Rattus norvegicus: one gene and its partners. The protein of the gene in region 1 interacts with the protein of each later gene in a pairwise test. Links are inferred from orthologs where the notes say so. Each region holds a gene or a part of one and is shown on either strand. Other genes may lie near its edges. The genes, in order: Tsga10, Cdc73, Zfp410 and Birc2.

Region 1 (8,009 bases):
ATGCATACACACAGGCCAATGGGTTTCCATTTACATGTAAACACACGCACATGCACATACCAAACATACATGCAGAAAAGAAAAAGCACTAAAGGACATGAAAGAGAAGGGGGAACACTGGGGAGGGAGAAGAGGAACAAGTCGGGGGTAGTGTGGGGGGAAATAGGAGGGAAAGGCAAAACAGGATTTTGCAGTTTTATGTAGGTACACATGTATGTAAATGTCATATAAATCCATTTTTGCATGCTGACTAAATTAATTTTAAGATTGAAAGCAAACATGTTAGTCATGAAAACAAGCAGGAAAAATATAACCTGTAACGAAGAGGCCAAAAAGCTAATAGAAAGAAACTTAAAAATATCATGAATTATAGGATTTAGTGCATTAGTACTTTTTTGGGTTTTTAAAAAAGATTTATTTATTTTATTTATATGAGTACACTGTAGCAGTCTTCAGATACCCCAGAAGAGGACATCAGATCCCATTACAGATGGTTATGAGCCACCATGTGGTTGCTGGGATTTGAAACTCAGGACCTCTGGAAGAGCAGTCAGTGCTTTTTTTTTTTTTTTTTTTTTTTTTTTTTGTTCTTTTTTTCGGAGCTGGGGACCGAACCCAGGGCTTTGCGCTTCCTAGGTAAGCGCTCTACCACTGAGCTAAATCCCCAGCCCCACAGTCAGTGCTTTTAACCACTGAGCCATCTCTCCAGCCCATACATAAGTACTTTAATATAGTCATTTAACTATTTTATATATTCCCAAGATAATGGCAGAACAAATTATACAGAGAATGTGTGTCTGTGTGTGTATAAACAAACTTATCTACACACACACACACACACACACACACACACACACACACACACACACACACACACGGTTTCTCTGTGTTGCCCAGGCGATCCTGGAACTCGCTCTGTAGACCAAACCTTGTACTCATAGAGATCCTTCTGCCTCTGCCTCCTGAGTACTGGGATTAAAGGTATGTGCTACCACTGCCAGTTTAGACAGGCTATGTTTTATAATGGAAGACTTCTCTTTTAAAACATCAAACTTTCAGCAATAAAAAAATCAATTTTAATTTTTGTTGAGACTTATTTTTATCTATATCTGCCAGGTATGTGTGCACAGTGTGACTGCAGTGCCCGTGGAGACCAGAAGAGGGCAGCAGATCCTTTGTAACGGGAATTAGAGAGCTGTGAGTCATCTAAGCGATGCTGCGAATTGAGCCTGGGTCCTGTAGAAGAGCAGCATCAAGTGCTCTTAACCACTGAGCTAGCTTTCCAACCCCAAGTTTTTCTTTTTTGAAATGGGTCTCATGTAGCCCAGTGCATGCAGTTCAGGCTGACCTTGAACTCACTGTAGATGATACTGGCTTTGAATTCCAGATCCTCTTGCTTCTACCTCCCAAGCACTCTCACTCATTACAAACACTATGGCAAAGCCTGGCACCAGAAAACAGTTTTCAACTGAAGAACTGAGGCTGAATGATTTTCATAAAATAACCAAAAAATTTAAAGCTAAAATTTACAAAGACGTTAAAACTTACTGTTGCTCCCCACCCCAGATAAAAATTACAATCAATAAATGGGCTAACGAAATGGGCCATTCTCAAAAGAAGAAACATAAATGACCAGTAAATGTTTTGAAAAGTTCTGAACAGCATTAGCCATGGTTGGGGGGGGGGGGCGTGCAAATTAAGGTTTGTACCCTAAATCAGAAGGGCTATCATTGTGAAAACAAATTACAAGTGCTGGCAAGGATGTGGAGGAGCCCTTTCACAGTGCTGGAAGGCATGCAAACTGACGTGAACTCAGTGTGAAGACTTCTCAAAAAACTACACAGAGCTACCCGCGACCTAGAGTTACTGCTTCTGATACGCCCGGAGGCCTTCACACGCTACCACAGGGACACTTGACTATTTATTCCTGTTTATTGCTGCGCTATTCACAAGAGCCAGGGAATGGATCCGGCCTAAATATCCTGAACAGATGAACCAATAATGGGAGCATTGTACATATACGACGAAACTTGACTCTACCATAAAAACAAGTCACGAAATCTGCAGAAAAACGGACTTGGAAATTATTTTAAATGAGATAACAGACTCACGAAGTCAAAAGCCATTATGTTCTTGCATGCCGATTCTAGCTTTACATGTAGGGGGTAAATACGGGTGTGAATGTGGACATAGCTCACGAAACTACAAGGTGAGGCGGGAAAGAGTGGTTTGAGGGTAACAGAACACTGTGACATGAAAAAGGCAGGGACCACTGGGGTCACTGGAGTGGAACGGCAAGGGGAGTGGACAACAGAAACAAATTTTGAAGGCAAATGCCACAAAGAAACCTATTTACTTTGCGTCCTAATAAAATAAATAAAAACGGGGTAAAAAAAAAAACCTTCTGGCTAAGATGGGTAGAAGCGGTAACGCACTCACAAAAGCAGTATGACAAAATACTTTTCATGCTAAACTGAAAAAAAAAAAAACAATGGCAGCACAGCGCGGGGCTCATTTCCATTTAGAAAGATTCGAGATGCCATTTTAAGGCTCTCGAATAGAAAAAAAAATACGTCGGATAAGAAAAGGCCCAATTTTGCTCGCTGGTAGGAGCCAAACTCGGGGTAAAACCTTCAGATACAGTATTTAACATCTCACGAGGTTTTATATCCTTTCTTGATTTTCATTGCTAAGCGTGCTAGAGAGGACCGGCGTGTAGAACAGAAATGCCCGACTGGCATGGGGGAGATGAATGCTGGATCTGCCATTTCCCAGATCCATCCTGACCCGAGCAGACCCGTGGCACCAGGACAGATCGTCTCCCGCCAGGAAGCTGCGACAGGGTCCCCCACCTTAAGGCTCCCACAGCACAGCTTCCTGACGATGGCTGCGCACCGGAGCAGCTCTAGGGAGTAACCGCCTCCCTCAGCTAGAAACGCCTGGGGTTCCTGGGACCGCAGCAGGGGCGCCAGCGCCGGGCGACGGCCACCGCGCTTGCGCGTTCCGGCTACCTCCTCGCAAGCGCAGGCTGGAGGATGGTTACTAAGAGACTGGACGCACGGGTCGGCCATCACGGCGCTGCGTGGCCGTGCGCCTGCGCGGCGCGGATGGACCAGGAAAAGGCCTCAAGTCGGAGCCCTGACAGCTCGGGCCCGCTGCTGTCTACGTCGCTACGTGCTCGCTCGGGTGCGCGCGCACGATCCGTAGTTCCCCCCCCCACGAGAGGGCGTGTCGAGCCAAGTACGCGTGCGCACGGGGGCTAGGGCGCGCCGGACGGAAGTGGAGCGGAGGCGCCGGGGAGGTGGAAGGAGAGCCCCGCTCAGGTACAGAGCGTGAGGGCGGGGCGTCGGCCAGCCCCGAGCTAACCGCTCCCGCCCTCTTCCCGCTGCGCCCTGCCCAGCGCCGGCCTCCGCCGGGGCGGAGCCAGGGGGCGGGAAGAAGGAGACAGGGGCGGAGGATGGAGGCCGGGGTGGGGCTGGATCTCTGGCAAGGCCATAGGCCCCATAGTGGCCGGGATGAGCTCCGGGGAGGACGGTGGCCGCGGAGGCCAGGGGAGGGCTGCGGAGCTCCAGGGAGAAGCCTCGGAGGTGCGCTGGGCTAGAAGAGAGCCACTCCGGGGCGGCTGCAAGAGGGTGGGGAGAGCCTCACGGTGGCCCGGGGTGGGCATCGCTGTTTGGGCAGCTGTGTCGTGGGTAACCCGCCGGGTAGGATGGCTTCCAGGAGCAAAATTTACCCTAGTTTCTGGGGAGTTCATGGTTGAGCCCAGTTCCTATGGTGACCGCTTCGCTGCTGCCTGCCTCAGCTTGGTTGTTGGGGGACTGATTGCTTAGAGACACTGAGGTGAAGCTGTGGCATTTGGAAGTTTAGCCTGTCTGTTTCAGGACCCCCCAGTCTCTCCTCAATCTCTTCTTTATAGATTAGAAGGCAGATGAAGGGAGAAATTGAATTTTGCATGAAAAAAAAATCTCACAATCTCCTAGTTTGTACAGAGGAAAGGCAGGGTAGGCTGGTTTTTGTTTGAAAACTTATTCAAGACTCAAATAGGCATCTGTCATGCATTTAATATCTAAAAATGCCGACGTATATATGTACATAAGTATTTGTATATAATCTTCAGTCAACGATTTAGATTTTAAGAAAGGTTTGCACAAGTGACAGGGTTCGGTGTTTTCTTTAAGCCCCTGCAGACCTGCATGTCCCACGGTACTAGCTAGTCATTTTATTCTACTGGTTTTCAGGATTTCGAGTACATTTTGTTCACTTTCGGGAAATAAAGTCATAGTAATTTCGGAATAGAATAGGTTGTTAAGCTAAAGGGAAGTTATATTTAACTGTGCTTGAAGAACAAAACAATTGTATTTTAATTAAGCAATGAACTAAGTCCTTCTGTCTTAATTACTGGGAAAGAAATAATAAATATATTACATCAACCAATATTCCTTTCAAACCCCCAAACCTCGATATTATTTAATGGCAGTTTTAAAAACAGGTTTTACTTATTTTCCAAAGAAGAATCATTGCCGTAGCCCAGAATATAACCAGGCAAAGAGAGAGCCTCTGGGTTCTGTTTTCAGTCTAATGTCTCATTTGTTTAAAAATCATTTGGTTTTAAAGTTTTCCACAAGTAGAGGCCATTAAAACAGGTGTAATTTATTCCCTAACAAGTCACATGCTCTTGCGCTTCCTTTATTCCCCATACTGGCAATGCTAGCCATTTTCTTGCTTTTCCTAGTAGTTTTATCATCCTGTGCAAAAGTACAGCTTACAGTCTGCCTTGTTAGGGGACTTTATAGAAGGGAAACTGTAGCAGGTGTTCTACAGCTTATTTTCAACACTTAGAGGTTGTATCCTTACTGCTTCTAGGTAGTTTGCTAGTGTTCCACTGTAAAGATATACCACAATTTACTGTCGGTGGGTTTTCAAATATCTGACAGGGTTATGGGTATTAAAATATATGCATCTCATGTTTTGAGGAGAGGCAGTGGGGAAGGTAGTTCTTTTTGTTTTAGTTGCACCATTAGTCTTAGTCTTAAATTACTAATCCCTTTGGTCTAGAAAAGCCTTCAGAGAACAGCTAACTCCGTCTTGGGTTTCTAAGGTCTTGATAAACACTGCCTCTCCATTGTTTCATGCTGCATTGAGAACATAAGTTATTTCTTTAGAGACTGGATTGTAGAAACAGAGATGAGCTTGGAGCTTGGAGTGAAATGACTGGGGAGATTTTGTTGTTGTTTACCTTAAGAAAAGTTTAAACTTTAATGACTTTACTATTTTGCTTGAAGTGAGTTCTCAAAACATACTCACTTATTTTTGTCATAAATATAAATGTGACATTCATAACCTTTTTGTAGGATTATCCATATCTCCTGGTAGGCACTTCTATCCTACTTTGATGAGTCTGTAAATCTAACTTTTGGAGAGAATTGTTTTAAAAAAAAAAAAAAGCAAAACTTAACCCTAGTTTAGCTTTCCCAGAACCAGTTTTCAGGACTGAATTGAAAATACTACAGTATTTTTAATTATTGTATCAATATAATAGCTACTTGCCAAATGTGTACTGTGTGACTCAGTTTGCTTAAGAGCAATGATACTTTGTGTGTTATGTGTTACATGCACATGTATACATGTGTGTGAAGGTTACAAACTGACCTGGGTGTTTTCCCTTAATCCCTCTTTACTTTATTTTATTTATTTATTTTTCTTTTGGTTCTTTTTTTTTCGGAGCTGGGGACCGAACCCAGGGCCTTGCGCTTCCTAGGTAAGCGCTCTACCACTGAGCTAAATCCCCAGCCCCTCTTTACTTTATTTTTAAGGCATCATTTCTCACTGAGCCTGGAGTTTGTCAGTACAGTTAGTCTGGCTGACCAGCATGCCCAGTGGTCCTCTTATCCCCTGCTTGTCCCATGCTAGGATCACAGGCACATGCTGCCCACTGCTGTGCCCAGTCTTCTTTACAAGGATGCTATGATCCAAATTCTGATCCTATGTGTACAGTGTGTACTTTCCTGACCCTAATGATATATTTTTAAACTAATTTTTAAACGTTAGTGTACAGAGCTGGAGAGATGGCTTAGCGGTTAAGAGCACTGACTGCTCTTCAGAGGTCCTGAGTTCAGTTCCCAGCAACCACATGGTGGCCCGATGCCCTCTTCTGGTGTGTCTGAAGACGGCTACAGTGTACTCACATGCATAAAATAAATAAATCTTTAAAAAGAAAGTTAGTATACAGTGGGAGGGGGTGACCAGAGGAGAGAAGTTAATATACAAATAGTCTGTTGTATCATGACATTTCACACACATATATTGTTTTATCTTGATCCTCCCTACCCTTCCCGCCTTTTGCTGATAGTTTTTAAACATATAATCTTAACTTCATTTCACTGAAAAATTAAAGTCCCACTAGGAAGGAAGTTCCTCATATTTAACCCTTATTTAAAATTCCACTTACCTTTGCTTTTCTCATTCTGTGTCAGAGGACAGTGTACCTGCTACCTGGGTTTCCTCATGTTACTCACCTTTTGCCTCTCCACCAATCAACATTAATTTATGTCTTCATTCTTTCTCTGTTGTAGGACTTCATTACTTGCATTACTTTAGTGAATTCCTTTTTCAACCCCCCCCCGCGCGCGTGTGTGTGTGTGTGTGTGTGTGTGTGTGTGTTTGTGCTTGTGCATGTGCGTGCACATTATGTGCATGAGGAGGTCAGAGGACAACTTCTATGTGTATGTGTGCACACTTGCTTGCCAGGATGTATGCTTGCTACAGTGCCTGTGCGGAGATAGAGGAACTGTGAGAGTCGGTTCTCTTCTTTCACTATATGGGTCCTGGGTGATCAAACTCAGGTCATCAGGCTCAGGCACAGTGCCCTTATCAGTTAAGTCATCTCAGTGGTCCTGGCCCTAAGGAAATATTGAAGTGGTTTTGTGTATGCAGATTAGATATTGTTCATCAGAAATGCTTAAAATCAGAAGTGTTGCTGTTTCAGAGGTTGGGGACTTTGGGATATTGCATGTACATGATGCATCTCAGGGATGGGGCCAAATCTAAACAGAAAATTAATTTGTTTCATATGAACTTTACATCCATTTTCCGTAACACTTTTGGTATCCTGGGATTTTGACTTTGGCCACTCTCCTGAGGTCAGGTATGGACTTTTCCATTTGTAGCTTCATGCTGTTGCTCAGAAACTTTGTGAGGATTTCAGGTTTGAATTTTCAGAGTAAGGATGTGTAGACTTTCTTTGCATTTTCTTGAGAGCCACAGTACTTGTTTGACTCTGGAAGGGGTCTCTTGAAAAGAATGGAGCATACTTTTCTCTTTTGGCAGTGAACCTTCTACAGCCTTAGTCTTCCTTTAACTTTTTTTTTTTTTTTGTTCTTTTTTTCGGAGCTGGGGACCGAACCCAGGGCCTTGCGCTTCTTAGGTAAGCGCTCTACCACTGAGCTAAATCCCCAGCCCCCTTCCTTTAACTTTTATTCCGCCTCTTTGGCTCTTGTAGCCATTCTGATTAAAGGCTTACATTTTATATTTTGATTTTTAATCCTTATTCATTTATTAGTCCTCTTGGGATTTACTTTCATTCCACCACAGAAACTGCTTTGTTTAATTAAATGTCATTATTTAAAAATGTTTTATTAACTCTAAATATTTATTCATTGAGTAAATACAAATGTTCCATAGAGAAACTTTGGTGGACTTTGTTCAAACATAGCAACCAGACAACAGCGTAGCAGTCTTGGAATTTATATCCCGGTAGAAGAAAATAGACAGAAAGCAGGGAGACAAATAACTAATACAATTTCAATAGGGGCAAGTGTAGTAGCCTGAGAGGAGAGTGACTGAGAGAGAATCTGCTTAAAGGAGGAGATTGAGGGAGAAAAGCTATTGTGATGTTCAAACCAAAGAGCTGAGGTTGAGAAGATGTCAGTTAGGTAAAAGGCTGAGGAGAGGACTGGAGAGATGGCTCAGCGGTTAAGAGCACTGAGCTCTTCCAGAGGTCCTGAGTTCAA
Region 2 (7,853 bases), on another chromosome or scaffold:
TGTTAGGACCAAGATTTATAGCATTTGGAGGGAGGCACTGGGATATGGAAGCAGAAAGATTTATCAGGATTCAATGACTATACAAAGATCTATAGATGTGTATATGTATTTAGTATACCCATAATTTCCAGGTTAAAAAGCGAATGGGATACTTTCTGATTGCTGGTTAGGCATTCTATCAATAAACCTTAAGTAAGAATTGTTGGGGATTCTGGTATTCATAATTACAGATATGCACAGCTTTTTTTTTAGTTTTTTGATATTATAATATAATTTTATTACTTCCCTTCCCTTTCCTAGGTCCTTCTAAGAACCTCTTCTCTGCTCTTTCAAATTCATAATCTCTTTTTCTTAAACTGTTGTTACATATACACAGTTCTAATGTGCTCAGTATCACACAACACACACACACACATACACGCGCGCGCGTGCACACACACGCGCACACACACGCACACATGTATATACGAATCTGTATGCTTTCAGGACTGACCATTTGGTTTGGATAACTAGTTTTGTTTCTCCACGGGGAAGACTATTTCACTCTCTCTCAGCATTCCTTGCTGCCTGAGTTCTTTGTCTAGTGTTGAGGTCCCACAAACATTCTCTCTCTCACGTTAGCATGTCCGTTGGTGTCTTTTCTTCGTCAGGTCATGTTTAGGCAGCCATGTTAGTGAGACTTCATGGGCGTATCTTCTCTGACATTTCTAGGAAACACCGTCTCCTAGCAATGCTCCTGTTCTTCTGACTCCTTCAAGCTTTCCACCTCCTTTTCGGAAACGATCCCTGAGCCTTATGTGCAGGGGTTGTGTTGTAGATGTGTTCATTAGGGATCAGCTGCATTTGATCAGTTGTGGTTTCCTGTGATAGTCTTTATTTGTTGCAAAGAGAAAAAAGTTTTTGAAGAGCGGTGAGAATTACACTAATTTGTGGGCTCAAGGATAAATATTTAGAATGCAGTCAGAGTATGCAGGTTTAGTAAAATGGTGGTTGTAGGTTCTCCTTCATGATCCATGAGTTTACTAGCATGGGGAGTTAGCTAGGTCTTCTGTAACAGGCATGGTTTCCCTCTTGTTGAGTAGGTCTTAAGTCCAGTTAGAGAGCTGCTGGCTACTACCAATGTATGTGTCACTATGAAGTGTTAAGCTTATACCCAGGATAAAACTATTTTGAATATAATTTTTTTAGTTGCTTTCCCAAGTTTTCAGTTCCACGGCTACTATCTTTTATTAGACTTTGTCCTTCTTGACTTAACTAATATTAGAGGTCAATTTAAGGGAATTTATATAACAAAAATGATGTAAAAATTTCAGTGCTTTAACTTATAAACAATAACATTTGTCTTACAACATTGAGTCTAGGGGTCATTAACCTTAAAGACATAAATTAATCAAAAAGAGAAATTGGTTGGAAATGATTTGTATATAAAATAAAATTCATAAAAACTATTGTTGACTTTCTTAACTCGTCTTGAAACCTATAATGCACTTATTACCTCAAACTTTACTAGGAGACTTTATCTTTTCACTTACTAACTCAATATTTTCTAGGTGTTGTTACTGTATCAAGTACAGTGCAGACGACCAAGATGTACTACATGTCATACAGTCGTTTCATTTCCTAGGAGGTAGGCAAGCAAATAAAGGGGACAAGGAAATACTGGGTACTGTGATATATAGGTATAAGTCCAGATGTGAAAGGGACAGTCGAGCAAAGTCAGTTCTTTATAAGCCGCATTTGCCGTGAGGTTCAGAGACACATTGAAGGGAGAAAACCGTTTGTGAGGCAGACATTCTTTTAACCTCATACATCCATACCCGGAGAACTCTTTGCCACACATAACAAAAGTTCATGCCCCCCCCCCCAAAACCCAATAGATCAAAGTATTTGGTTTTATAAGTAACAAAGTGTGCCTCCTTCTCACCAAGAGTGAAAAAGAAATATTAGGCTTGAAGTGTATGTTTAAGTTACACAGGCCATGTAAAGTATCAGAATTCTAGGTTCCCCTAACATAAAGTCACCGGTAAACCTTTTGAGGTTTGATGTTTAGTATTTCTTCCACTCACAACCTGGAATCATTTGAGGCTTTTTTTGGGGCGGGGGGCGGTTACCCGGGAGAAGCTGCCGTTGCCGGGATGGAAAAAAGTTGTTTCCAAGGAAAGAGGCGGCGTGGGGGAGGGGGTGGTCAACAATGAATTGTATTTCGTCGACGCGTTAGGATGCTTTCAACTTATTCTCATATTAATTTTACTCCGTTCACCAATCAATCGATGTTAGGAGACCAGCGACTAACAAACGGTTCCAGAATTGTTCTTCACCTAACTCTTCTTTTCCTCTTTGCAAATCTACTCCTAATGAAAACCTAGCCTTAACTTGAAAACGTCCACATTCCAAAGTTCAAGCTTTCCCTAGTAGCTTATCCTGCCCACGGGGACCTATTTCGCTGAGTGCGGCTCAGATGAAGGCAGAAAGAGGGGGAAGCCTTCAACACAGGGAAGCGAAGCCTGGCGCAGGGAAAGTAAATCACCCAGTGCGCGCTCTGGGATCGAAAGTGCGGAAGCGCCCAGCAGGTGCGCGCGCACCTGTCGCTCGCCTCGGAACCCGCGCCGGGCGCGATTCCGCTAAGGCTCAGCACCCCGGGAGCGCCCAGGCTGGCTCCCGGTTTCCCAGAGTCGGCGGCGTGCCCCGCGGGCGTCTGGGAGGCGCGTCTGCTCGGGCGGCCGCGGCGCCCCCTGGCGGCGGCCCGCGGCCCTGGCGGAGCGTGGGTCAGTCAGGCGTTCTCCGCGGGCAGCCCGCGGCGGGGCCTTGCCTTATATAGCGCGGGGTCCTTGGCGGCCTGGGTGGCTTCTGCCCGTGCTGCTGTCGTAGACGCGGACGGCTGTTAGTGTGGTGGCTGTTGGTTCGCGGCGGCGGCGGCGGGGGAAGAGGGCGAGGCGACGGGGAAAGGAGGCGGCGGGCGCGGCGGCGACGGCGGTGCCCGGGGCCCGCGGCGGCGGCGGCTGTAGCAGCGAGGGGGGCGAAGATGGCGGACGTGCTCAGCGTCCTGCGACAGTACAACATCCAGAAGAAGGAGATTGTGGTCAAGGGGGATGAAGTGATCTTCGGGGAGTTCTCCTGGCCCAAGAATGTGAAGACCAACTATGTAGTTTGGGGGTAAGTGCGGCATGGCTTTGGCCTAGTGGTGGCCGGGCAGCGTCGGGCGCCCCCGGGCGACCTCTTCCCTTAAGCCCTCCTCCTCCGGAGTCCCTCGGGGATGAGAGGAAAATATGGGTGCTCTGGGAAAAAGTTATTCTCTGGAGCAGAAGTTGTACTTTTAGGGTGAGGAGGGAAGAAGTGGAGCGGATTCTAGAGCGGTCAAGTCTTTTCTGTGTTGGAGAAGCCAAGGGGAAAGGTACCATGGGAGTTTCCGACTTGCCAGTCGGTGTTCAGTATGTACAGGTTGTCCGCGCTGTGTAGGGCTGCTGCACGTCTACCTGAACGGAGGTATAGAAGCAGACATCGATCCCAGCATCTGGCGTCCACCGAGTCGCTTTTTGTTCTTAGTTGTTTTTTGTAATCTCCCAGAGGCTGCCATGTGTTGCAACTGTCTCCTCTGGCTCTTCGAGCGTCCCGGTAATTTTCTTTTCTTTTTTTCATAATAGGGGAGGCTGATATTAAAAAAGAGGGAATAGACAAGTACTCCTTACAGTTTAGGAAAGATGGGAGAGTTTGGAAGTCTGCAAACATCAGTATTGGAGAGGAAAGCAAGACTTTGTTGGGGAGAAAGTTATTGGTGAAATGCAGTGAGTTTTACATACGGGTCTGAGAAATTGATCCTATGTGCTTTTCAAAAAGCGCTTTCAAAGAAAAACGAAGCGTTTGGGAAGGTTGATTCGTGGATGCCATGAACTTAAGTCGTTGAGGAAATCACAGAGTATCAAGTTAATAATCAAAGATAATCCTTTGGGTCCCCTTTAATCATGATACTGCCATTGATGCTTCTCTTTGATAATTAGAATCATGAGTCAGACTTTTGGTACTCATGACTTTATGAATGATCAATTAAAAACGAGAAAATGTTAAGATTTCTTTGGACTTACTGAGTTCCTTTTTGAAATGTTGATTAAGTGACATTTTGAGTTTCCCATGTTTTACTGTTTCAGATACGTTACACAGAATTATTTTATTGGGTTTTAATGAATATTTTTTCTTTAAAAACCCGTGGGATAAAAGAAGTTTAACTTGGAAAAAAAAAAGTTCCTTCCTTAAGCTATTTTGACTAGAAAAAGTGGAACAGATTAAGTTGATCTGAAATGTTTCCTAGCTGATAGGAAGAGAACAGTTGTTTACTTGTGGGTGGGGCGGTATTTAGAAAAGTGTGTTTTGTCCATTCTACAAAGCCTGGAATAAATGAATGAACAGATGAGTAAACTTTAAAGAACAGCTAAGAATTTGAGTGAGATAGTGGGATAGCCTTCCAGTGCTGGGGACTATAGACTTGAGACTTAAGACATGAGACTTGGGAAGGACATGCTTTGACAAGAGTGTACAGAGGAGTGAAAAGTAAAACTTAGAAGGAATTTAAAACTTTCAACATCAAATCTTCAACAGAAGTTATATCTCTACATGAATTCACATCTCACTGTGTGTATCTCTAAAAGACTAGTTAGTACCCTTAATGCATTCAGCGCTTTCTGCTATTTTATGATAATTACTTTGTATATTAATTAACAATGAATGATTTGACATATCACTTCAGAGCAGTGGTTCTCAACCTGTGGGTTGGAAGTGTGGGAAGACCCTCACAGGGGTCTCCTACGGCCATCAGAAAACATAGGTACATTTATAACAGTAGCAAAGTTAAGAGTTACGAAGTAGCAACGAAAATTATTTTTTAGTTGGAGGTCACCAGAACAAGAAGAATTGTATTAAAGAGTTGTAGCATTAGGAGGGCTGAGAACCACTTGCTTAGAGTAAAAGTGATAATAGAGGCTAGTAAAGGAGGTTTAGGACAAAATAAAGTGAGCTGTATTTAAATGGATTCCTACAGTTGAACCATCATAAGTAGATGGAGGAGAAAGGAAGGGATTGCAAAGTGGTGTGTGCGTTAGCATTAGAGAACTTGTATCCCCAAGACTACATTACTTGATCACAGTATTTTAGTTTTGCTTTATTGGTTTAGTTTGAGAGATGTTATAAGGATCATCTCCTTGGAGTACATCCTTTTAACTTTCAGAGTATTGTTGAAGATGTTGTATAGCAGTATCTTTTTTAGAATTATAAGATGTATATCTTTTAAGTGCATCCTTAGTAATACCTTCATCTAGTTTGTTTTCTATGATAATCCTTTCCATTGTGCAGCTGGTTGGATTTTTTTTTTTTTATTTTTTCTGTTGACAGAGTCCAGAACTCAAGTCTTATTTTAAAATATGTATACATATTTAGAGTTGGGATTGAGGATGTAGCTCAGTTGGTGTGATGCTTGCTTAGTATGTATGGGTTTCGGCACTTGATCCCCAACACCACATGCAAAGAAATATGGTGGAGTGTACATGCTGTCCTCAGCTGTGTAGCAGAGTTGAGGCTAGCTGGGATACATGAGACCTTGCCTGTCTTTTTTTTTTTTTTTTTTTTCTATTCTTTTTTTTTGGAGCTGGGGACCGAACCCAGGGCCTTGTGCTTGCTAGGCAAGCACTCTATCACTGAGCCAAATCCCCAAACCCGAGACCTTGCCTGTCTTAAATAAAGAAAAGAAAGAGTATATATGGTATTTTAAAGAATGAATTTATGTGCTCTCCCTGTTTTTTTTTTTTCTGCATTTTTTTGTTTACTTTTGCCCAATGACAACTCATTGTGAAAGTTTATACTGCATGTATGTTTTTGCTAGGTTAAATACACTGTTAGATAACCAACTAGATATAGATAAATGAATGCATGTAACTGAGCTCAAATATTTATCTTAATCTTAATAAAAGTCATGCCTTAATTTTAGGACCGGAAAGGAAGGCCAACCCAGAGAATACTACACATTGGATTCTATCCTATTTCTCCTTAATAATGTGCACCTTTCGCATCCTGTTTATGTCCGACGTGCAGCTGTAAGTAGGAGTCATTTTAAAACTATTGATCAAATAGTTATAGATAACTTCACTCATGGGTTTCAAATGTCTGAAATTGTCATGGAGAGTGAAAATTAAACTGCTACGTGATTTATTCAGATTTTTTAGTTGGCAGTTCATTCATGTAAAATATAGGTAACATTTATAACAGAACTTTTTTTTTTTTTCTTTCTTTTTTTCGGGGCTGGGGATCGAACCCAGGACCTTGCACTTCCTAGGCAAGTGCTCTACCACTGAGCCTAATCCCCAACCCCATAACAGAACTTTTAAAAGTGACTACATAGATGTTTCAAAAAATATAAGTAGAAGAACTCTGATAATTCAGAACTATAGTTTAATTTCAAGAAAACTTTTCTTAGTATAAACATATTATAGGAGAAGGCATAAGAATGATATAAATTTAGTACTAAAGTATGAAAATCTCAATAAACCCAACGTAAGCAGATACTTCTTTAGAATTTTAACCAGAACAGTTCTTTTGGTACTTTATTGACAAATGTATTGTTTTTTAGTTTTATCTGCTTTGTCAGTGTTTGAAAATTCATTGTTGAGAGGAAATTATTAGGAATAATTAAAAATATTTCATTTCACAAAGATTGTTATGATGAGGTTCTTCTGCTGGCAAGGGACTGTTAAGTAGGATTCTGAATTATTTGAGTTTGACGTTGCAGCTTGGCATACATGTGCAAATTATGATGGTTCTCCAGATATTTCTCTGGGTATTGGGAGGACACAAGTCTCATGTAGCCCAGGCTGGCCTCTAGCACCTGTCTAATTGAGGATGACCTGAGCTTGTGCTTCTCTTGCCTCTACCCTCTAGTACTGGGATCAGATGTGTCTGCAGTCATGTCCTGTTAATGTGGTATTGGGCACTGAGCCCAGGCTTTCATGCTTGCTAGGCAAGTACTCTTCTTCTGAGAGACGCTGCAGCCCTTTAACTTTTATTAAAAGTGGTCCTCCATCAGATTTCTTGATGGATCAGACATAGAATTACTTTGGAGATACTGATATAATCAAATATCTACTCTAAAAGCTGTTTTAACTTTACTGCATTGTCTTAATTTGAAAGTAGTTCTTTCATTTCTGAATATTCTCAAAACAAACCCATAAAATCTTCATTGTGACTTCCATCACTAGAGATATTTTTTGGCAGCTTAACACTACTGCTGGATTGCATTATGTTGTGTGAAATTTACTCTTACAACCTTTCCTTCTAAGTAGAGATAGTTGAGGCTTTTGAAAAGTAACTTGTTATTTGGACCAGTTGTGAAAGTACCTCATTTATTCTGCTTCAGTAGGACTGTTTTTCTGAGTAAGAAACATATATTCAGTGTTAAATATATGTTTAAAAATCTTAAAGTTGGTAAGTAGTAGGGAAAATTAATAATTGACCATTACATTATTTATTAGATCTTTAAAATCCTAATTAAGCAATAATTAGAATTGTTTGTTAAGTAATTTACGTACTTAGAGCTATAAACATTTCATATATCTATATATTCATGTATGTATATTTATATATACATATATATGTATGTATACATACATAGTTTTGTTTTTTGAGACGTAGTTTTTCTGTTTAGCCCTGGCTCATCGGAAATTCATTCTGTAGACCTGGCTGTCCTGGAACTTAAGAGATTCTCCTGCCTCTGTCTCCTGAGTGCTACCACTGCTCCGCAAGACTATTCTTCGAGTGGCTATAGTTCATAACTTATAGTAACAGTTATTGTGGACTCTAGGACTTACATTTATAGT
Region 3 (7,244 bases), on another chromosome or scaffold:
GTGGGAGCCTGGGCAGGGGGACCTCAGAGGGCAGCAGAACAGCAAGTGGAACTGGGAGAGAATGGTGCATAGGAACCAGGGGAGGAAAGTGTTTTAAGGAAGAAAGGATGCTAAATGATACCGACTGCTGTAGAATGGACTAGAGAGGTCAAATGTCTACCTGGTTGCCTTGGGAAAAATAGTAGTTTCTGGAAGACGGGTGGGTCTGGAGAGTAGAGTGTGACTGAATAGAAATACAAGTTAGAAGGTAGAGTTATTTTTGAAACTGCATACAAATCTGTAAACTCAGTGCCCATGATGCTGAAGTAGGAGGACGTGCTTGAGGCCAGCGGAGGCAACATGGTGAGACCTTGGCTCAAACAAATCAATAATAAAGAAAACGTGTTGGGCGTGGGTCACTTACCTTTAACTCCAGCTCTTGGAAAGCAGAGACAAGCAGATTTCTGAGTTCAAGGCCAGCTTGGCCTAAGTAATGACAGCCACTCTTAACTGCTGGGCTATCTTTCCAGCCCTGGTGAGAGAGAACTTAACGGAAGCATTCAAGAGAGAATGACCTGACCGCACACAGGATTGGAGTATTTCAAGTGGGAGGTGGCCTGGTTGCCAGGAAGGAACATTTTGCTTCTGAAACAAGAGGAGGCAGAGTTAGCAGTAAGCCTGTGGGCTGGATGGAGAAACGATATCTTAATTATTTATAAGAACAGAAACTTGAAGTGAGAAGGGAAGATCTAGACTGATTAATTCGGGACAAGTGTCTGGGCCAGGTCTAATGAAAGGATGCTGGCTAATCTTCCTGTGTTCTCTTTCTCCTTTCAGGTCTGGGCTCTTCAGCTGAGCACTTTGTGTTTGTACAGGATGAGGCCGAGGACTCGGGGGCTGACTTCCTCTCTGCTGAGAGCACAGACAGTAATATCCCATGGTTCCTCCGGGTTCAGGAACTGGCCCACGACAGTTTGATCGCAGCTACTCGTGCACAGCTAGCAAAGAATGCAAAAACTGGCAGCAATGGTGAGACTTTCTTCTCTCAGGTTTCTCCATACAGAGACTTGGGTAACAGAGCGGCTGTATTTTGAATTGTGTATAATTGCAGCTGTGTTCTGTAAAATGGCAGAATACTGTGGCGGGACAGAGCACCTCAGTGGGTCCAGCCAAGGTGTTCTCCTGAGGACTCACCACCGTGGAACAGGCCTAGAACAAAAGGGAGCTTATTTGGGGGAAGGGAAGGGGACCTGGAAAAGGGGTAGAGGAAGAAAGAGGAGGGAGGAAGAGAGAATAGAGAGAGATGGGGGGAGAGCGAGAAGTGGGTGGGTAGAGAAAGGGTGTGGGAGGGGAAAGGGAGGGAGGGGGAGAGAGAGAGAGAGAGAGAGAGAGAGAGAGAGAGAGAGAGAGAGAGAGAGAGAGAGAGAGAGAACGAGAACATAGTCCTTATAAGCCACGTTACCTTGCAAGTTGTTGCTAGGTAGCTGCTGGGTGGAGCCTAGCAGAATTGCCGACAATATTGAATGCTTTTATCATAATCATTCTTAAGTATGTAAAGATCAAAATTTATAAAACATTTATATTTAGAGCTCAAAGAAGTTAAAATAGCTTTATCAGTTAATAAAAGTACAATTGTAAAATTAATGTTGAATCTGACTCATAATGCTTAAACTATGTTGATATTCATTAGCCAATTGCTTTATGCTAGTTACTTTCTGTTTAAAAAGTTTGAGTGTATATGTGTGTGTGCATGAACATGTACACATGGAGGATAAAGGTATGTCCTCCCCACTCCTAGGAATATCCCACACATGGCTGGTCTGTGTTTCATGTCCTCATGCTTGTGTGACAAGCATTTCCCCCACTAAGCTGTTTTCTCAGTCTGGTGTCTCTTCAGCTTAGCCTGTACAACTTCATGTGTCTGACGTCACTTTGGAATACGGTCCCCGGATCCCCAGGCAGCTCAGAGGTGTGGCTGTCTTGGTGCTGAGAGGTGGCTCAGCTCTTAAGGGTGATGGCTGCTCTTTCAAAGAAGCTGAATTTGCTCCCTAACGTCCACATCAGGTGGATCCTAACCTGTAACTCCAGCTCCAGAGGACCTCACACACTCCCTTACCCCACATTGGTCTTCAAGTGCAACTCTCATGCCTAACCACAGATCTGTGGTAGATTCAAAACCCCCCATACTAGTCAAACCTTCGTTTACATAACTACCATTAATTTTTAGGTCTCTTGATTAGTTCTCTTTCTGTATTTTCTCATTAGTCTGTGATGATTAAGTTATTACCACACCTGTCACTATTGTTACTAACCAAGCCAAGATTACACACAGCATTGTCAGTTGACAACTATTTGGAGCTCTTGCCTGGTAATCCAGAACATATTTATAATTATTTTCTAATTACTGTTCATATAAAAACAAAAAACTAAATAACATCTCATAAACTTGGGGATTCTACAGATATTTCAGAATATTTATTTTTATAAACAATAACTCCTACACAGAATATTCCATACTTTTGTTGATCTTCAAATGATTATTTGATAGTGACTTCACGGTGCCCTGTATTCATCTAACCATTTGGGGAAGATTTCTTCTAAGATGATTTTTCTAATTCAAAAATCCTGAAACCTTTCGGTCCCCAGCTCCAAAAAAAAGAATAGAAAAAAAAAATAAATCCTAAAACTTTCACCATTTTAGTCACATTTAGAAAATGGTGCCGCCCTACATAGTGAGTCCCTCATCTCAAAAGACAAAAGTTACTTTATAACCTTAACAAGTGTCTTATATTCCGGAATACAAAGTAAATACCACAAACATAAGACACAAATAGTTTCATTTTGTTGGTGAGATCCCCTAAGATTTTGTATTTAATTCTTTCCTAACAAACTACCCCTCCCCTTGCAGGGTCTCCCCTTGCAGGGTCTCCCCTTGCAGGGGCTCCCCTTGCAGGGTCTCCCCTTGTAGGGTCTCCCCTTGCAGGGGCTCCCCTTGCAGGGTCTCCCCTTGCAGGGGCTCCCCTTGCAGGGGCTCCCCTTGCAGGGTCTCCCCTTGCAGGGTCTCCCCTTGCAGGGTCTCCCCTTGCAGGGTCTCCCCTTGCAGGGTCTCTATGTGGCCCTGGCTGTCCTGGAAATCACATCTGTAGGCCAGATTGGCCTGGGAGTCAGAGATCCACCCACCTCTGCCTCCGGAGTGCTAAGATTAAATGAGTGCACCATGCCTAGCTCTGATTTTCTAGACATTGACTTCTGTATTTTGTTGTTTGTTTTTGAGGCAAGGTCTCCTTATGTACTTCTGGCTTTTCTATAACTCACTATGAAGACCAGGCTAGCCTTGAACTTAGAGAGATCCAACCATCTCTGCTTCAGTGTTTTCACGCATCTCAGGACACACATCTTACCTTGACTTACTTTCTGTACTGGGTCACGTAAGGCCTCCTGCTTGCTGGGCATGTGCTCTACTGAGCTAGCATCTGCAGCCCTTCCTTACTACAGCCTGTGACGAGGTCTTACGGAGGTCCCAGGCTGGCCTGAAGGCAGACCTGTTGATGTGGACCATGCATACATTCTTAGTTAGCAGATCCTGGGCAGCATGAGCCGAGGCCTGCTTGCTCGTCTTGCCTCCCTTCACTATGGAACAGCCCCATGGATGTTGTCTCTTATGAAAGATTGGTTCAAATTTTCAAAATTCATCTGAGGTTTACATTTTTAAACACTGGATAACCAAAATGGGGTGAGATAGGAAATTAGAAGGTTGTTCTTATCCTTCAAATGATAATAAATGAACAAGTTGATTCAGAAAATGGGAAATCTTAAGAATGGCCACCTGTTTGGAGACGGGGTAGGAGGGAGGTAGGTTTGGGGGTTTGGGATGTGGAACTGTTGGAGGGTGACTGGGAGGAGAATAAAATCTGGAGCATAAAAATAGGCAGGCAGGCAGGCAGGCAGGCAGGCCGTCTGTGATAAAAACCTGCTATAAGCTCACTCATCCAAAGCAAGTGTTTCCTTATTTCCTAAAACTCGAAGCTCCCTCTGTAGCCTCCACTCTGGGTGTTACTTCTCTACCAACTCTGCTGCAAATGCTTGGGTTCCTTTTGAGACTGCTCAGTCCTGCTACTTCTCTCCCACCACAAAAGCTGGGATTACAGGGGTGAGATCACAGGCGTGTACCACCATGCCTGGCCCCGCAGATGAGATATGTGTAAGGTAGCCTTACTCAATATCACTACGTTTGTCAGAAACCTAGTGTTAGGAAATAAAGCCTGCAAGCTGTGGGTAATTCTCTGGATGTAGACGAAGGTCATGCCTATGCCTAGTAAGCACAGATAGCTGTCTGGTTAACGATTGATCGCTAGCAATGAAACATTTGAATCTGAGTGTCTGAGCAGGATCTTTCCCTGAATTCTAAAATGTCACTTGTTACAGGAGAAAATGTCCACCTTGGTTCTGGCGATGGGCAACTCAAAGACTCTGGGCCCCTTCCTCAAGTGGAAAAGAAGCTCAAGTGCACGGTTGAAGGCTGTGATCGGACATTTGTGTGGCCAGCTCACTTCAAGTACCACCTTAAAACTCATCGGTGAGCAATCATACTGAGGAACCTGTCCCTGAATAGACAAACTACAGGAAAGCGGGAACTCCGTTTGTGCTGGCTAAGATATCTTCCTTTGTCAGGTGTGATGATGCATATACACCTGTAATCTCAGCCTTTGAGATCGACTTGGGCTGTAGGGAGACCTTGTTTCTTTCTTTCTTTCTTTTTTTTAAGATTTATTTATTTATTATATATGAGTACACTGTATCTGTCTTCAGACACCAGAAGAGGGCATCGGATCTCTTTACAGATGGTTGTGAGCCACCATGTGGTTGGGATTGAACTCAGGACCTCTGGAAGAGCAGTCAGTGCTCTTAACCACTGAGCCATCCCTCCAACTCAAGACCTTGCTTCAAAAGACCAAGGTCTCTGGTTCTCGTTTGTTTCTGGGTGGATTCTTGTGCTACCACATTGCTTCAAATTTTTTGAGCTTAAATGATCTTCTGCCTCAGCCTCCCAGGTTTACAGCATGCCAGCTAATAGGAAACTTCTTGTTTGAACCTTGTTTTTGTTGTTCTAGGATCTAAACCCGGGCTTTATAATCTACCTAAAAAAAAAAAAAAAAAAGTACTGTTTTGTGAGCTGTATCCATAGCTCTATGTTTTTGTTTTGTTTTGTTTTGTTAAGATGAGTTCTCACTGTTTGCTCGCACTGGCTCCAAACTCAAGGTTCTCCTTCCTAAGCCTCCCATGCACTGAGGAAACCGTGCATCCCCATACCTGGCTCAGGACTCTTGTATGTTAATAGAAAGATTGTGTTGTCTTATTTACTTATTTTGGGCATGTGGCTGCAGGCAGGCCTCAGACTTTCTGTACAGAAAAGGATGCCTTTGAATTCTTGGTTCTCTTGCCTCTGCCTCTCATTAACTTATTTCTGATAAATATTTAAATAAGACATTTTGCACCTAAATATCTTAAAGAGTAAAAATTCTCAAGTCTTACTACAAAATAATTTGAGAACTTAATATGTAAATTCTAAAGAGATGAGTTAGCTGTTAAGAGCATTGGATGCTCTTCCAGAGAGCAAGTTGGTTGCCAGCACCCACGTGGCAGTCCACAGCTGCCATAACTCCACTTTTAGGGATCTGGTGCCCTTCTGGCCACCTTAGGCACCAGGATATATGCAGTGCACAGACAATTCAGGCAAGATACCTATACACAGGAAAACAAATAAAATAACAACAGCCAGGCAGTGGTGGTGCACACCTTTAATCCCACACTAGGGAGGCAGAGGCAGGTGGATCTATTTTGAGGGCAGCCTGGTCTACAAAGCAAGTTCCAGGACAGCCAGGGCTACAGGGAGAAACTCTGTCTTAAAAAACTTTAAAAAAAAAAACCAACCTAACAACAGTAATGGCAGATCTTCCTAGGGCACCACCTTAAGTCTGTGTGGTGTTGTAGCTGAGACTGGGCTTGTACAGTTCTAACAGCCTGGGTTGGTTTGAGTATCCCCGTCGGGAGTGCACTGTCTGCCTTTGGGTCGGTAGAGATGCTGACGCAGCAGCAGCAGCAGCACACAGCGCTCTCAGGCCTTGGTGCTTGTGACTGTTTTCACAGAAATGAGCGCTCCTTCATCTGCCCTGCAGAGGGTTGTGGGAAGAGCTTCTATGTGCTGCAGCGGCTGAAGGTGCACATGAGGACACACAACGGGGAGAAACCCTTTATGTGCCATGAGTCTGGGTGTGGTAAGCAGTTCACTACGGCTGGAAACCTGAAGAACCACCGACGCATCCACACAGGTGAGCAGCTCCCTTCCCTCCCGCAGTTTCCTCACCTCTGCCGGCCGCCGGCCACTCCCTGCTCCCCTATACTTAAAGGCACAGCGAGGGTAGAAATGAAACACACTGTTGTTACTAGTCCCTGAGGAGAGGGTTAATTCCATTGTCTTGTGCATTCTGTTGATTCATTATCAGTAACCTTTATCCAGCTTTATCTGTGTGAGGAAGGAACAGACAGTATTGTCTTCTTTCTCCAGAAGCCTACCTTGTAGGAAGAAATGTGAGGTTGTCCTAGATGACCTTAGCGCCGCCAGGAGGTGACGGACAAGTCGGCCTGTTTTCCAGTCTCTGAAGATTGCATGGATGTATTTATCGAATCCTGTGAACGTTACAGAGCAATAAATAGGAGATAAAGTACAATCCGAAAGCGAGGTGCTTCTTCTTGTTAGCACTTACAACATGACAAATAGAATGAGTGTCCGAATGAAAGAAGCAAAATAAAGATTCCTTGCTTCTTAGTCCAAGATCCTGCACGTGCTTCTGGAGCCGTTGTTAGAAATGTGTTATTACTGACCTCAGGTCACCATTGAGCATGTGCACCTCTTCCCTGCTTCATGCCACTTCCCAAGTCTTGGCTAAAATGACAGGAGGTACACTGTATAGGAAATCAGAAAGGGAAGTCCATGCACAAATCACAATTGTTCTAGACATAATTTCTTCCAGTTGGCATACCTTTATATGTTAGGATGAAATAATTTTCTCTTCAGTTTTCTTACAACAGTAAATGTGCCTGGAGGTGGTGCACACCTTCAATCCCAGCACTTAGGGGACAGAGGCAGGCGGATCTCTCAGTTCGAGAGCAGCCTAGTCTACAGAGCTAGATCTAGAACAGCCAGTTTTAGACAGCTTTAAAGCCAAACAAAAGAAATAAGCAAAAAGGAAATAGTAAACAGTTCT
Region 4 (7,244 bases), on another chromosome or scaffold:
AGCAAAGCATCTCACCTGCTTTGCTCCATCTATCCATCCAGACATACAAAGCCTTGTACACATCCATGCCTTGAGAATATTCATAACAACCTACAAATGTGAAACTTAACACCGCTTCCATGTTCTCTTGGCTACTACCTCTCCTCTCTCAGACGTTGTTGTGTTGTGTGTGCTTTCATGTGATGATTTAATTGGATTCAAGAGAGTATTTGATGGCTGGAAACACTGGACCCACCATGAAATTGGGATGTGTATGTCTGGCATGGTGGCAACCTGCCTTGGGAACTAGGTGGGTCGAGATATTGTTGCCAGGCTCAGAGAGTAGCCATCGATCGGCAGTGTGATATGGGATAGAGCAAAGTGGGTGAGATGCTTTGCTGAATGAGATGGAAATATCTAACAGATGTCATGGGGCACTACAGTGTAGGATCTAGTGCAGGATAAAAGAAGCATTTACTTTTACCACAACATAGGTGTACCCACATCTTAACCTTTTCTCCATCCATCCATCCATCCATCCATCCATCCATCCATCCATCCATCTATCATCTATCTATTTTGGGGTGGTATTTTGCTTAAATCTTGCTTATATGTGGGTCAGGAAAGGACCTAGGGCTTTGTCTATGCTGTCACATGTCCAGTGATAATGAGCTTTACATTTGCCCTACTTTTTTGCTCGAAGGTAATTTCGCATATCTATATTTTTGAGGTACATTGGTTTTTAAAAAATGAATGTGTATTAGAATCATTTTGGGAGATCTTTTAAAATTAATTTTTCATATCTGTATGTGTGGGTACGTGAGAGAGAGACAGATATGGAGACACAGTTATTTCAGGAGTCAGTCTCTCCTGTGAGTTTCAGAAATTGAATTTGGGTAGACTTGTACAGCAAACACTTACCCATGAACCATCTTGCCTACATGATTTTTGAGGAAAAGCTGTTTACAGTGTATGTGTGGGTACACATGCTGCAGTGTGTCTGGAAGTTAAGAGGACATCTTTGGGCACTGGAGAAGATCCCAGTAGTTATAAATACTGAGGGGTATAAGGGGTGGGTTGGTGGGTTGGGGAACACCTTCATAGACACAGGGGATGGGGGATAAGAGGGGATTTATGACGGGAAACATTTGAAATGTAAATAAAAAACAACCAATAAAAAGAAAAAAGAAAAAAAAAATACTGGGTGTTCTTCCAGAGGACCTAAGTTCAATGCCCAACACCTGCATGCAGGCATCTCACAACTGTCTGTAGCTCCAGTTCCAGGGACCCAACACCTTACACATGCAGGTAAAACACTAGTGCCACAGAAGCAAATAAACTATTTTTTAAAAAAGAGGACAACTTTGGGAATTAGTTCTCTTCTTACCCCCTTATGGATTCTGTGAGTTGAACGTAGGCTTGGAGCAAGTGTCTTTACCACTGAGCCATTCCAACAACACTTCAAATTTTTTTAGCAACAGATTCCTAAGCAAATTGCCAAGAGATTTTTTTGTTTTAAGTTTACGGCAGGATGTAGGTACTGTATGAAGTGATTTTTTTTTTTTTTAAGATGCATAGTACACTAATTGTTCAAAGTTCAAATCGTATTGAAATTAATTTAATTGTTGCGCATGGTATGTCTCATTTATTAGGACATGAATAAAAATGGTGCCACAGGCATTATATTTTCCATAGTTTTAAATTTGTGGAGTTTAATAGTAGCAAATTTGTTTACAAACAGTTGTGCATCTGGGCCCTGGAGAGAATTGGGAAGATGCAGTGATGATGAACACACCTGTGGTTAAAGCAGCCTTGGATATGGGCTTCAGTAGGAGCCTGGTGAGACAGACGGTTCAGCGACAGATCCTGGCCACTGGTGAGAACTACAGGACGGTCAGTGATATTGTCTCAGCACTTCTGAATGCTGAAGATGAGAGAAGAGAAGAGGAGAAGGAGAGACAGAGTGAAGAGACGGCATCAGGTAGCATTGGTGGCTGCAGGTTTTCAGTTACCTGTTACGTGCAGCATCCTCACCTCTCACCCATAAATGGCTGCTGATACTCTCCTCCTCTGGACATACCTAAACTGTCTCTTTGCCAAGCTCAGGCTAGCTTCATATTCGGTCTATAGCTAGTGCTGTCCTTGAACATCCCTGAGGTTCCTGCCCCCACCTCCAAAGTGCTGAGGTTACATGTATATGTAACATTACACAGATTTACAATAAACTTCTTTTGAGCTGTATTGCATTTCTTCTGTATACATAACTAAAACTGAAAAAAGCATGACTTAAGGGACTTGAGGGATTGCTCAGTGGTAAAGAGCCCTTGTAAAGGACTTGAGTTTGGTTTCTATTGTCTAAGTAAAGTCCAGTGTCTCACAACTGCCTACAACTCTAGTTCCTGGGGATCTGACCCCCTCTTAAGACCTTTGCATGTACCTGGTACACAAACATACACTCAGGCACATACACATAATTTTTTGTTTTTGTTTTTTAAGCAAGATCTAAAAACTGGTTCAAAGCTGGTTGTAATGGAACATACCTAATTCTTACAATCGTGGCATTCAGGAGAGTAAGACGGGTACTGAGTTTACGGTCAGCCTACATTCCAAAGCAAGAATCTACTTTTTAAATAAAGTTCCTTCAAATTTGGTTTCTAATATGACATTTTACCTAATAATCCTTGGTAGGTGATCCTTACACCAAAAATTTGATTTTAAGATGACATCCTAGGCTGTGGTCCTTTGCCCAACCCAAGGATAATAGACAAATGACTTGGATATTTGTGTAGATTTTATTAAGTCTTAATCTCCTTGAATAAATCTTCCTCTGGGTAATTATATCTTCAACAAATATGCATATATTTAAATATGTAAATAGTAGAAGTAAATAAATGTGAAGTATTGATTATTTTCAAGGAGTATGTAGACTAGCTGGGAATAGTGGTTGCAAAGACAGGATTAGAGGGCCATCGGGAGCCTGCAAGATGGCTTAATGGGGAAAGGTGCTTGCTACACGCTTCCTCTCTCTCTCTCTCTCTCTCTCTCTCTCTCTCTCTCTCTCTCTCACACACACACACACACACACACACACACACTGATTCCTATAAGTTAGGTGCTGTGGCAGGACTGCCTCCCCCAACACACACTAAGGAAAGAAAAAAATTTTTTTTTTTTTTTTTTTTTAAAAAAGAGAGGTCTAGTTGGCTACAGCCTTATTATGTGACCATATCACAAAAAGTTTAAAATTCTAACTTCTGGATTGAGATAGATTTATGTTTCAATCCTGGCCTTTTGGTTAGTAAGTAGGTAGTACATTCAATTAAATTGAAGGTTTCTCATCTCTGAAGTAAAGTAATCTTATGAATAAGCTAGATTCATTTTTAAAAACTATACTATAAATTTAGATTTATAAAATAAAGCTGGCTATGTGTTACATGTGAGGTATTGTGCAGTGTGGTTTATGTGCATTTTATTTAATTCTTTGAGGAAGATGATATTATTCCTATTTCAGATCAGGTGTATATAGCAGGAGGACACATGGCTATTAAGTGGCTAGACTTGCCTGGGAGCCAAGCATAGTCCATCATGTCTTGTAGCTTAAGCTCTTGAGCATTGTAGTTGTATAGAAGGCATGGAGTCTCAGCCTCTAGGCTGAAGATGTAGCTTATTGATAGAGTCCTTGCCTGACATTCACAAACCCTGAGTTCCATTATCAGCACTATGTAAATCGGGCATAGGGGTTCATGTCTGTAATCCTAGCTCTTGGAATGGAGGTAGAGTCAGGATTGGGGGAACATAGGTACATGAGGTCCTGTCTCAATAAATAACAAACCAGAAAGCTCAACTAGTTTAGGATTCTGGGGAAAGAGAAAAAAGAGAGGACACATGGTTTACTACTCTCTAAAATTTTCTGCTTGCTCACAACAATTTGAAGGATTTTTTTTTTAATTGTGTGATATATCGGAGTTTAATCTGTAAGATTAACATGACACTTGATTGCATTGATGTGCAATCAAGTCATTTCTGAGAAGTCCTTCAAGCTCAGCTTAGTGCCTAATTTGTACATAGGGTTGGTTGGGTGTAAGTTGGGGGTGTTTGAAATTTAATGGAACTTTTTCTTGCTTGTTTTTAAATGAAGGTGACTTGTCATTGATTCGGAAGAATAGAATGGCCCTCTTCCAACAGTTGACGTGTGTCATTCCTATCCTGGATGATCTTCTTGAGGCCAGTGTACTTACAAAGGAGGAACATGATATTATCAGACAGAAAACACAGATACCCTTACAAGCAAGAGAGCTCATCGACACCATCTTAGTCAAGGGAAATGCTGCAGCCAGCGTCTTCAAAAACTCTCTGAAGGAAGTCGACTCTACGCTATATGAACACTTATTTGGTGAGTTTATTGGAAAAAATTATTTAGATACCTATAGGGTTTGAGTTGTCTCTCCATTGATAAAGCAGAATAAATCTAGTTTAAACCTGTAATCTTTACATTTTATCTATTTTTTTAAAAAGTGATGTATTTTATTGCCTGGACAGTATTTTTTTTTTTTTTTTTTTTTTTTTTTGGTTCTTTTTTTCGGAGCTGGGGACCAAACCCAGGGCCTTGTGCTTCCTAGGCAAGCGCTCTACCACTGAGCTAAATCCCCAGCCCCGACAGTATTCTTTGTAATATATAGCAAAAAAAAAAAAACAAACAAACAAAAAAAACTATGTAAAAGTAGTAGGTTAAAAAGTTTCATATTGATAGAATGATGCTTTTTGTATGCTTGCTTTCTTCAGTGGAGAAGACGATGAAGTATATTCCCACAGAAGACGTTTCAGGTAAAATGGAGCTAGCACTCCAACATTGTGCCTGTTAGTTTGTAGAGGCTGAGTCTCACTATTGTCCTTCTGTTCTCAGGCTTGTCATTGGAAGAACAGCTGCGGAGATTACAAGAAGAAAGAACGTGTAAAGTGTGTATGGACAGAGAGGTCTCTATCGTTTTCATTCCTTGTGGTCATCTGGTAGTCTGCCGGGAATGTGCCCCTTCCCTGAGAAAGTGCCCCATCTGCAGGGGGACAATTAAAGGGACTGTGCGTACGTTTCTCTCATGAATGAAGGAAGCTGTCTGAACAAAGAATTACTGATTCAGCTACGCAGCAGAACATATGTGCTCTACTCTTTCAAGATTAATAATCTTGCTTTATGTCATATTGTATATTTAATCTTAGTCTGTTGCAGGGGAGGGTCTATGCTGATGAGCTACAGGAGTGTGTATGTCCCAGAGCAGGAGTGGGGATGCTTGCTGTGTGTCCTCAGGACTTCCTGGATTTGGGATTTCTGAAAACTTTGGATTCAGGTGATGTGGAACTCAGAAATCCTGAAACCAGTGGTCCTGGCACTCAGCAGTTAGCCCTGTGCTTCTTGGTGCTTTTCCCTTCTGGAAAATAAGTATTTTTCTGTTACTAGTAAATAATATTTTCTGTTTATGAGAAACATACTGAAGTTTTTTTTTTAAAGGCTTGCATCATCAGTGTGTGTAGGAATGTATGCAGGCAGAACACTGTGTACATAATAAATCTTTTAAAAATGTTTCTAATGTGATTCATGAGAATTCCTTTAGATAAGCTGTGTGTGCTTTGTAAATAAAATATTGGGAGAAGACTCCATCAGTATCAAAAAATTGAGATAAATCTACATGAGAAATTATATGAAACAGTTTACTTGCCTGTTGAGTGTAGGTGTTTGTTAGGATTGGAGGGTTAGGAACCAGACAGTGATAAGTACTTTCTTTGTGGACCAAACCATATATGACCTGTCCTAGATATAAGTCTGGTAGGCTTGTGAAGGTTTGAAGTGTCTTTAAAAAGGCAGAGGGCGTGGTGGTGTACAGCACAGACAGGTGGATCTTTGGGCTGGTTTGTTTTTGACAACAAATTTAAACATGTCTTGGAAGAGGGAATCTTGAGAAAGCATATAAGATGGCTCATAGGCATGTCTTGGAGCAGTTTTCTTTATTAATGATTGATGTAGGAGAGCCTTGCCCATTTCAGGTAGTTGTACCCCTGGACAGATGGTCCTAGACAGTACAAGAAAGCAGGTCAAGTAAGCCATGGGGACAAGTCAGTAAGCACACCTCCATGGCCTCTGCTTCAACTCGTTTGCAGGTTCCTGCACTGACCCCCTTCAATGATGGAGTATGAACTAAGAGTTGTAATTGAGGGCTGGAGAGATGGCTCAGTGGTTGGGAGCGCCGACTGCTCTTCCAGAGGTCCTGGGTTCGATTCCCAGCGGCCACGTGGTGGCTCACAACCACCTGTAAGATGATATCTGATGCCCTCTTCTGGTGTGTCTGAGGACAGCTACAGTGTACTCATATATATGAATAAATGAATCTTTAAAAAAAAAAAAAAGAGTTGTAATTGAAACTAACCCTTTCCTCCCCATGTTGCCTTTGGTTATGGTGTTTTATCATAGCAATAGAAACCAAGAGGAACAAAGATGGCCTGTTCTGCATCGTGAGTTCCAAAGCAGCAAGGACTAGATAATAAGACAAAATGAGTAAATAAAACAAACCCCTGTATTAGTGTTCTCCAGAGTAATAGAACTTACAGAACGAGGCTGTGTCTAGAAAAAGGACTTATTGCAGGACTTACAGGCTGCGGTCCAGCTAATCCAACAGTGGCTGGCTGTGAATGGAAATCCACGAGGTGGATGTTTCAGCTGGTCTTCAGTAGGTGTGGGAATCCTGAAGAAGTAGGCTCTAATGCCAATGAAAGAATGGACTTGCTAGCAAAGTGAGGGCAAGCAGGCCCAGAGCAAAAGCTTGCTTATTCCCTGACTTTCCAGAGGCTTCCAGCAGAAGGTGCATCCCACATCAGTGGGGGGTGGGGGGTCTTCCAGCTCAAAGGATCTGGAAGATCCCGCCTGAAAGATGGAGATTAGAAGTAGGTCTTCCCAGGCTGCAGAGATGGCTCAGGGCTAAGAGCACTGACTGCTCTTCCAGAGGTCCTGAGTTCAAATCCCAGCAACCACATGGTGGCTCACAACCATCTGTAATGAGATCTGATGCCCTCCTCCGGTGTGTCTAAAGACAGCTACAGTGTACTCATATACAATAAATAAATAAATATTACAAAAAAAAAGTAGGTCTTCCCACTTCAAACGTGTCCTCTGTTTGGGGGTTTTAGTTAATTCTGGATATAGTCAAGTTGACACAAGGTGTAGATTTTTTTAAAATGATTTTTCTATTTATGTTTCTGTCTGTATACATATGTGCAGT

The links.
Region 2: the proteins of Tsga10 (region 1) and Cdc73 interact in binary tests that used the Homo sapiens proteins (3 or more experiments, as listed by UniProt). The two-hybrid records come from large-scale screens. The link is inferred for Rattus norvegicus from reciprocal best matches to the Homo sapiens genes TSGA10 and CDC73.
Region 3: the proteins of Tsga10 (region 1) and Zfp410 interact in binary tests that used the Homo sapiens proteins (3 or more experiments, as listed by UniProt). The two-hybrid records come from large-scale screens. The link is inferred for Rattus norvegicus from reciprocal best matches to the Homo sapiens genes TSGA10 and ZNF410.
Region 4: the proteins of Tsga10 (region 1) and Birc2 interact in binary tests that used the Homo sapiens proteins (3 or more experiments, as listed by UniProt). The two-hybrid records come from large-scale screens. The link is inferred for Rattus norvegicus from reciprocal best matches to the Homo sapiens genes TSGA10 and BIRC2.

What each region holds. Positions count from the first base shown.
Region 1 is NC_086027.1:47,589,321-47,597,329, reverse strand, and holds the start of Tsga10 (testis-specific gene 10 protein), read left to right. Parts: upstream 1-3,268; 5' UTR 3,269-3,323; intron 3,324-3,468; exon of another isoform or gene 3,469-3,515; coding exon of another isoform or gene 3,516-3,587; intron 3,588-8,009. UniProt on the Homo sapiens protein: Plays a role in spermatogenesis. When overexpressed, prevents nuclear localization of HIF1A.
Region 2 is NC_086031.1:57,995,014-58,002,866, reverse strand, and holds the start of Cdc73 (parafibromin), read left to right. Parts: upstream 1-2,835; 5' UTR 2,836-3,022; coding exon 3,023-3,153; intron 3,154-5,971; coding exon 5,972-6,077; intron 6,078-7,853.
Region 3 is NC_086024.1:109,703,792-109,711,035, forward strand, and holds part of Zfp410 (zinc finger protein 410), read left to right. Parts: intron 1-816; coding exon 817-1,008; intron 1,009-4,404; coding exon 4,405-4,555; intron 4,556-6,126; coding exon 6,127-6,308; intron 6,309-7,244. UniProt on the Homo sapiens protein: Transcription factor that binds to the sequence motif 5'-CATCCCATAATA-3', and is specifically required to silence expression of fetal hemoglobin in adult erythroid cells.
Region 4 is NC_086026.1:13,252,009-13,259,252, reverse strand, and holds the end of Birc2 (baculoviral IAP repeat-containing protein 2), read left to right. Parts: intron 1-1,720; coding exon 1,721-1,960; intron 1,961-4,117; coding exon 4,118-4,372; intron 4,373-4,761; coding exon 4,762-4,803; intron 4,804-4,882; coding exon 4,883-5,076; 3' UTR 5,077-5,556; downstream 5,557-7,244. UniProt on the Homo sapiens protein: Multi-functional protein which regulates not only caspases and apoptosis, but also modulates inflammatory signaling and immunity, mitogenic kinase signaling, and cell proliferation, as well as cell invasion and metastasis.